Yarrowia lipolytica: one gene and its partners. The protein of the gene in region 1 binds, or shares a complex with, the protein of each later gene. Links are inferred from orthologs where the notes say so. Each region holds a gene or a part of one and is shown on either strand. Other genes may lie near its edges. A codon is read from its position in the direction of its gene.

Region 1 (2,917 bases):
TACTCCCTTTACAATGTTTTTCTCATTATTTCTCAACTGTCCGAGATCGGCCCACCCCGTCTACTTGTTCAACGTGCCCAAAGCTGATCAGTTTGTTCAATATTTCTAGAATTTGTAGTATTTAATAAATAAAAACCTTTCTTGTTGACTTGGATAAAGGAAGTATCAGCGTTGGTATGTTCTCCTTTCAAATACTGGAGCCATAACGCCTTTGAAGCCAGAATGTACCCAGAAACAACTTCTACTTGCACCTGCTTGTACTCACGATCTTGTAGACCTCCAGCATATACATTGGTATGTAATTATGCCGTAGCTAACTGCGCCAAACAGGCAATCACCTGTACTTCGTAGAAGACTCCAGTCTAACTAGATATGGTCCTGGAGACGGTAACCGACGTACCCCTACTCACAAAGTCCACTACACTCCAATATCCTGATGGTGCTTCACAACCCATGCTACATTCTTCCTGATCGGTGACAGTCGTTCTGCGACAATGTCCTCCAAGTCTTTCTGACTATTTTATTACGCCTCCAGGCTATATGCAAAGACGGGAACAATTACCATCTCATCATGCTCATGTCGTTTCGGATTCGGTTGTAATCGTAGAGACCCTCGATAGGACCCAGTCCGACCAGAGCAATATCCTTGTCGTAGAGAGTCTTCTGGGCCCAGGCTCGGACGTCGTGCTCGGTGACGGCCTCGAGCTTGGCCTCGACCTCAGCGGGGGTGACTCGTCGGCCCAGGGTGGTGAGCTGTCGTCCAATGTCCTCGGCAACGTAGGTGGTGCCGTCCAGAGACAGAAGGAGACCGGCCTTGAGCTGGGACTTGGCTCGCTCAACCTGCAGGTTGGACACAGAGGTGGACAGTCGGTTCCACTCCTTGAGAGTAAAGTGGACGAGATCGTCAATCTGAGTGGTGTTCTCGGAGGTCAGGTAGATACCCCACAGACCGGTGTCGGAGTAAGAAGTGGAGAAGGACTGGAAAGAGTTGGCCAGGTTGTTCTCAGACACAATGTTGGAGAGACGAGAGCCCTGGTGTCGGGAGGTGCCGACGGCTCGGTCGTAGTTGCCGATGATGGCCTGGGCGACCAGGGCAGTGTAGTAGTCCTCGGAGGTCCAAGAGACACCCTCGACGGCAATGGCAATGTGGGCCACGGGCATGGTGTCGTCTCGGAGTCGGACCTCGGATCCCACAAAGTTGGGGATGGGGTTCTGGTTGGCGTCCTCACCAGAAGATCGGGGGGTACCGAGGGGAACGGGAGACTGGGAAGAGGGCAGGTGGGAGAAGTACTTCTCGGCGAGCTCGACGAGGGCGTCGTGGTCGACGGCTCCGGCTCCGACCAGGACCATTCGGTCGGCGGTGTAGTTCTCGGTGATGAACTTTCGCAGCTCGGTGTTGGTGATGGTCTGGATGTTCTCTCGGGGGCCCAGGATGGTTCGGCCCAGGGGCTGGTTCATGAAGGCGGTGGCGTGCAGGTGGTCGAAGACAACCTCCTCGTACTGCTTGTTGACCTCCTCGAGCTCCCGGGTGATGACCTCTCGTTCTCGGTCAATGGCAGACTCGGCCAGCTTGGAGTGCTGCAGAATGTCGGCGAGGATCTCCACCGACTTGGGCACGTCGTCCTTGAACGACTTGGCGTAGTAGACGGTGGACTCTCGCGAGGTGTAGGCGTTGAGGTGGCCGCCCATGTTCTCAATGTCGAGCTCGAGCTGGTGCTGGGATCGCTTGTCGGTGCCCTTGAAGGCCAGATGCTCGAAGAAATGGGCGGTTCCGTTGTTGTAGGCGTTCTCGTTTCGCGAGCCGGCGTCGATCCACACGCCCACGGTGGCGGTCTGCACCAGAGGGTTGGACTCGGAGGCAATGGTCAGTCCGTTCTTGAGGTTGGAGGTTCGAGTCTTGGGGGAAACCGTGGTGGCAAGACCTCGCTTGGACATGGTGAAGACACCTCGCTTGAGGGCGGGCAGTCGCAGAAGAGAGTTCATGGTGTCGGTTGGATCTGTGGTCTTTCAATTGCTACGCCGTGTTGTGCGACAAGTAGAGAAAAGGGGGTCGTTCGATCGATGCGAGAGAGAGACTACTCGGACGGGTGCAATAGAGAGTGCGTGTTAAGGTGAAGCCACTTTCCCTCAGACATGATGCACATTTTTCCCGCCCTGTGAGTGGTCAGATTGCTCCCAACCAACCCTATTTTGCTTTCCCGCGTTTCTCATTGGCGGCGGACGAGGTGGGTAGCACTGGCTACAAATCGCCGAATCCTGGCCCTGGCCCCTCCATTCCGCCCCACGACCACCCTGCTCTATATATACCGCTTCTCCCGGCCCCGCAATGTCAAAAAACCCGCTCTACACCGCCCCACACAACCCTCGTCTGCTGTACCGCACGTCAAATCACTTTTCCTTGGAAGCTTATTTACTGTATAGTAGGCACTTGGTAGTGACAAATTATTGTCAGTAGAAGACTGGTACAAGCAGAGTCGCGCTTAAGCCAATTGAACACGCAATTGCCCAATAAACAACATACCGGGGGAGCGAGGGGGGGCGAGGGGGGGGGGGGGGGGGGGGGGGGGGCGAGGGGGGGCGAGGGGTCACCGTGACCAACCCCCCATCCCTCCCCCCGCTCCCTCTCTCACCCTGATCCCAGCTTGTGTGGCCTTCATCCTTCATTCATCTCACTAAACAAGCTTTGTCATTCGTCCAACCGGAAAAGTCCCTGGTCCCGTCCCAGCAGCCAATAGGAGGCGTTCCATTATTTAACGTTTCCGTAATGGAGGCAAAATGCCCCCCAAAAGAAGCTTACTCAGCGCACTATACGATAAAGACCGGGGAAACATCTCTACCTGAAACTGAGCTCTGCCAGCTAACCACACAACACGCACATCACAGTGAGTACGAAATGGACAAGGAGGATGAAACAGAG
Region 2 (2,000 bases), on another chromosome or scaffold:
CATGACGCCATGGACAACAGCGAGAAGGAAAGCGCGTTTGTGGGCATGTGCACCATCATCTCGTCCAACCCCCAAGCCCTCGACAACTCCACCCTGCTCATGTTTGTGAATGCCGTGGCCCGATACCTGGAGCCTAGCGAAGCGCTGATGCACACCTTTCGACAGGTGCTGGGTGGCCTCAAGGGCATGCACCCCAATTTTGACAAGGACGTGACCGAGCAGCTGCCTCCCATCATCCAGAAGCGACTGCGTGACGTCTACGGCGTTTAAACTAGACTGTACCAACTACAAGCATGTACACTCCATAGCTACAATCACTTAATCATGCCTGGTGCGGTGGAGAAACGGCTCCCACGGATTAATAGAGCCATAGAGAAATCAAACGATAGATGTATAACAATGACATCAAGAGTATGAACATGTCCTTGTAGAGATGTATGTTGAGGAGTATCGCCTACAAGATTTGTACAAATATATCAATAAGCAGCATCCAATCATAAATCCAGAATGTATGCTTTTCGGGTTCATCATGTTATCGTCAGTTATCATCTCGTTTTACTGTCTCCATATTGTCCCCATATTGTCTCATCATTCAGCTTGCTGCTGACACTGAACCATGCATATTGGAAGTGTTCCATTCGCCCACAATAAGCTTTGCTCCCAGCACACCACAGTGATGCTCCCCAGGGTTACCCTACCGTTCCTCCCAACAGCCAATGGAATCACACGGGTATCTTTCAAAGCCAAAGCTCACGAAAATCATCTCACCTTCACTAACTAAACACATCTATCAAAATGGGAGGCAACGGACACTACATGGGATGGTGGGGACACATGGGCTCCCCCCCTCAGAAGGGTGAGTACAAGAAGACAGGATGAGGCCTTGCGTTATTTATTGGACGCTATTCGACACGCGATGAGGGCTTCAGGACAACAATGGTGCGTGATGATCAGGCGGTGACCTACGTGGACAACATACCACATCAAGAGTGTGTTAGAGGTGATCAATGATATTGGTACAACCAGTCCACTACTACAACCGACCCAGGGCCAACTTGGTCCCTTTGTGGTCGAATTGAGGGTCTAGTAAAAAGTCACGCGCAAGATAGACAAACCATCACCACACACCAGTCAATCGTCACTCCTTCCCCAATCATACTAACTCAGGTATCGCTGGATACACCATCTCCCCCTTTGCTGCTCGACCCTTCGCCGGTGTCGTGCACGCTGCCATCTTCAACACCTTCCGACGAACTAAGAACCAGGCTCTCTTTGTCATCCTGCCCGTCTCTTTCTTCTACTACGTCTGGACCCAGGCCTCTGAGAAGAACGAGTGGCTCTACACCAAGGCTGGCCGACACGAGCTCGCCAAGGCTCTTGCCGAATAAGCATAGAAATACATATTAAGATCGACATCGTGGATTGTACGTAGAGGTCACAGCAGTCCCCTGAAGTGTGCACTGTATTGTAGTTAATCAGGTCATATTAAATATGCCTTGTATTGGTCATGATTAGACACTGCAAAAACGACTTACGATAATTCTTCCGTTGTATCGTATCTCTCGTATCACACATACAATCATACAGTGTCCAGAAAATCAGATGTTAAACACGGAAAACAACACATACAGTACAGTATAACCACAAAGAAAAGCTGTACAAGTATCTTAGATATACATTCTACTGTAGCCACAGGGAACAATAACACACAGATGAAATACACTCAATAAATATTAAATAGCTAGTTTTTATGTGGCGTCACCTTGACACTCTTCGAAACCGTGGTGGACTGACCCTTGTGGAACAGCGGCAGATCATACTTGAGTACGCCGCGAACAATGAGCTCAAACGGCTCGGAGCAAATCTTCTTCCACCGCTCTTCCGGAGTCAATGGCTCCTTGTCCTTGTCGCCCTTGTCTTTGTCAGGTACCCGCAGCATCAAGGGTACTCCTGAATCCAGAGTCGCATTACGGGGCACACCGGGGTCATTCAGACGGACC
Region 3 (2,061 bases), on another chromosome or scaffold:
AACACTAGGTACCGAATCTCTCGACACCCTGCGACCCGAAAAGGTAGCTATCCATTGGGCCTACTCATTGAGATTGAGCCTACCCATTGAGCCTACCCATTGAGCCTACCCATTCATTGTATCGATCACTCTCGGTGAGCGGTGTCATTCCAGTTGTGACTGGAAAAACTCGTGTCGGCAGTCTCACAGCTGAGCAGATGACGGTGCTAAGAACTACGGTGGTGTTACATCCACCCATGGTGTGTCGTGACTTTCGACGTCCGAACAAGTGTCGCCTTCAGGGTTACATCTCAGTCCCACTAAGGTACTCGTACTTTCTACAGTATCACAATAATACAGTGGGTTCTCAGATTCACCCGTCCGCACCCTACAGTCTACATCCACAGTGCTACTCATGCGGTGATACAGCGGGTTTCCTCTGTAAAACAACACAGACGCTGTGTTTGTACGTTCCATGGTTGTTTCTCTTTCGCATGTCGCTACGGTTTCAACGCACAAGCGACAAATCTCTCAGTTTGTTCAGTTAACATACATAGCCTTAGTGGTGGGGAGCCTCCTCATCGGCGCCAAGCTCATAAGCTCGGTAGACGGCGCCGCACTCGTCGCATCGGCCGACCTTATCGACACCGGCGTGGAACCACTGGACCTCGTGGGAGCCGTGGGGGGTACCGGAGCAGCCGACGATTCGGGAGTTGTCGTATGTGGGGACCCAGATGGGGTCGTCGGGGGTGCCCTTGACGGAGTGCTGGGGTCGGATGACGGGGCCGAGGTCGAAAATGTCGATACCGTCCATCTTACCGAGCAGCTCGAGTCGAGCCAGACCGGTCTCCTGCTCGAGGTCAGTGGGCACGGTGCCGGGGGCGGCGGAGGTTCCGATCAGGGACTCGGGGCCGGTGACCTCGGAGAGCTTCTCGGCGGGCTTGACGGCCTTGTGCTGCAGGAGAGCAGAGGCAGAGGAGAATCGAGCAACCTGCTGGGGTCGAGCGATTCGGCCTGCGGAAAGCAGAGATCTTCTCAGGGCGAACATCTGGGTTAGTACTGAAGCACAGGAGACATAAGCGTGGTGGACTCAGTAGAGTGAGAGCGTGGTGTGCAAAAAGTCTGGTACAAACTCACAGACCCATCCATCTCATGATGAATCGGCTTGGATACGTTGGTACGGGATACAGCCACAGCTGAGAGTAACTGCTGTGAAACTGGTAAATGGCATTTGACGCTGTCACCATCTGTTGATGATGACATAAGTCACGTCACTTAGTCGTAACACGGAGTCACGTCACAGCCACAGCCACAGCCACAGGTGTGTCACAAACACGTTTTCGAGGGGTTCAGTGGTATCCGTGAAATTGTGATATCTGCGAAATCTTTGTGTCGTTTGATTTGAGCTGTTCTGAGAGTGCGGAATTAGGTAACGGGTCGGTGGAAACGTCAGAGGGTTGATGCATTGAAAGTGCTAAGTGCGAAGTGACTGGCATCGACTAGTAAAGTGCATCACAATGTCGAATAGTCGAATGGTCGAATAGTCAAGTTCAGCGACATAGCGACATCCCCGGTCTCGATTTCTCCTTCGTTATACGCTGCATGTAGTCATCACATTGCCCGCGTCTCCCTACGACACTCCCGATGTCTCCCCATGACACTTTCCAAGTCAATCCACGACACTCTCCACGTCGTCACCACAACTGTCGTGCCATCCATCCCGCAATCGTCTTTGTTTTCGTCATCTCCACCTCTTCCTGGGTCTCTCCCTGTCATCTCATTTGCTCATCTGTAGCTTGTCGATATTTGCTCAAAAAACACAAGACTCGTGTCTGTTCACAGGTGACATTGCCCGAGTCACATCCTCCCCTCTCTCGTCCACCCCACAATATCCGCCTTATCATCTCAATACCCACTTTATGCAAAAATATGGAATGTACCGAAAGGTGCTATGTGGAAGCCAACACTGAAATCGTATCACACACTGTTAAAAGTTTGGGACATGATTTGTTAGCCGAGCTAAGCCAATCACAGCGCGCCAGAGTGGGCCGACTGCGAAACCTTAAAATAACATGTCATTTT

Evidence for each region.
Region 2: the proteins of YALI1_A14736g (region 1) and YALI1_F02758g are in contact, whole or in part, in a cryo-EM structure (PDB 8ABH), measured with the Yarrowia lipolytica proteins. Residues at the interface, in XP_500073.3 of Yarrowia lipolytica: Met176 (codon at 1,458), Val264 (codon at 1,194), Gly265 (codon at 1,191), Ser266 (codon at 1,188), Glu267 (codon at 1,185), Val268 (codon at 1,182), Arg269 (codon at 1,179), Leu270 (codon at 1,176), Arg271 (codon at 1,173), Asp272 (codon at 1,170), Asp273 (codon at 1,167), Thr274 (codon at 1,164), Thr356 (codon at 918), Thr357 (codon at 915), Asp447 (codon at 645), Glu457 (codon at 615), Gly458 (codon at 612), Tyr460 (codon at 606), Tyr462 (codon at 600), Asn463 (codon at 597), Arg466 (codon at 588); in XP_504875.1 of Yarrowia lipolytica: Trp10 (codon at 823), Trp11 (codon at 826), Gly12 (codon at 829), His13 (codon at 832), Met14 (codon at 835), Gly15 (codon at 838), Ser16 (codon at 841), Pro17 (codon at 844), Pro18 (codon at 847), Gln19 (codon at 850), Lys20 (codon at 853), Gly21 (codon at 856), Ile22 (codon at 1,170), Ala23 (codon at 1,173), Gly24 (codon at 1,176), Tyr25 (codon at 1,179), Thr26 (codon at 1,182), Ile27 (codon at 1,185), Ser28 (codon at 1,188), Pro29 (codon at 1,191), Phe30 (codon at 1,194), Ala31 (codon at 1,197).
Region 3: the proteins of YALI1_A14736g (region 1) and YALI1_E23635g are in contact, whole or in part, in a crystal structure (PDB 1HR8), measured with the Saccharomyces cerevisiae proteins. The link is inferred for Yarrowia lipolytica from reciprocal best matches to the Saccharomyces cerevisiae genes MAS1 and COX4. Residues at the interface, in NP_013264.1 of Saccharomyces cerevisiae: His70, His74, Phe77, Asn100, Ala101, Tyr102, Thr103, Ser104, Arg105, Glu150, Val154, Glu160, Ile180, Leu181, Trp277, Tyr282, Leu286, Gln289, Ala290, Asn294, Gly302, Met324, Ser327, Thr328, Ser329, Gln379, Leu380; in NP_011328.1 of Saccharomyces cerevisiae: Ile8, Arg9, Phe10, Phe11, Lys12, Pro13, Ala14, Thr15, Arg16, Thr17, Leu18, Cys19.

The regions. Positions count from the first base shown.
Region 1 is NC_090770.1:1,472,703-1,475,619, reverse strand, and holds YALI1_A14736g (uncharacterized protein), read right to left. Parts: upstream 1,984-2,917; coding exon 559-1,983; downstream 1-558. UniProt on the Saccharomyces cerevisiae protein: Catalytic subunit of the essential mitochondrial processing protease (MPP), which cleaves the mitochondrial sequence off newly imported precursors proteins. Preferentially, cleaves after an arginine at position P2.
Region 2 is NC_090775.1:275,041-277,040, reverse strand, and holds YALI1_F02758g (uncharacterized protein), read left to right. Parts: upstream 1-795; coding exon 796-856; intron 857-1,167; coding exon 1,168-1,388; downstream 1,389-2,000. Other genes in the region: YALI1_F02794g (uncharacterized protein), read left to right, coding at 1-270; YALI1_F02726g (uncharacterized protein), read right to left, coding at 1,742-2,000. UniProt on the Saccharomyces cerevisiae protein: Component of the ubiquinol-cytochrome c oxidoreductase, a multisubunit transmembrane complex that is part of the mitochondrial electron transport chain which drives oxidative phosphorylation.
Region 3 is NC_090774.1:2,362,449-2,364,509, reverse strand, and holds YALI1_E23635g (uncharacterized protein), read right to left. Parts: upstream 1,028-2,061; coding exon 539-1,027; downstream 1-538. Other genes in the region: YALI1_E23629g (uncharacterized protein), read left to right, coding at 1,624-2,061. UniProt on the Saccharomyces cerevisiae protein: Component of the cytochrome c oxidase, the last enzyme in the mitochondrial electron transport chain which drives oxidative phosphorylation.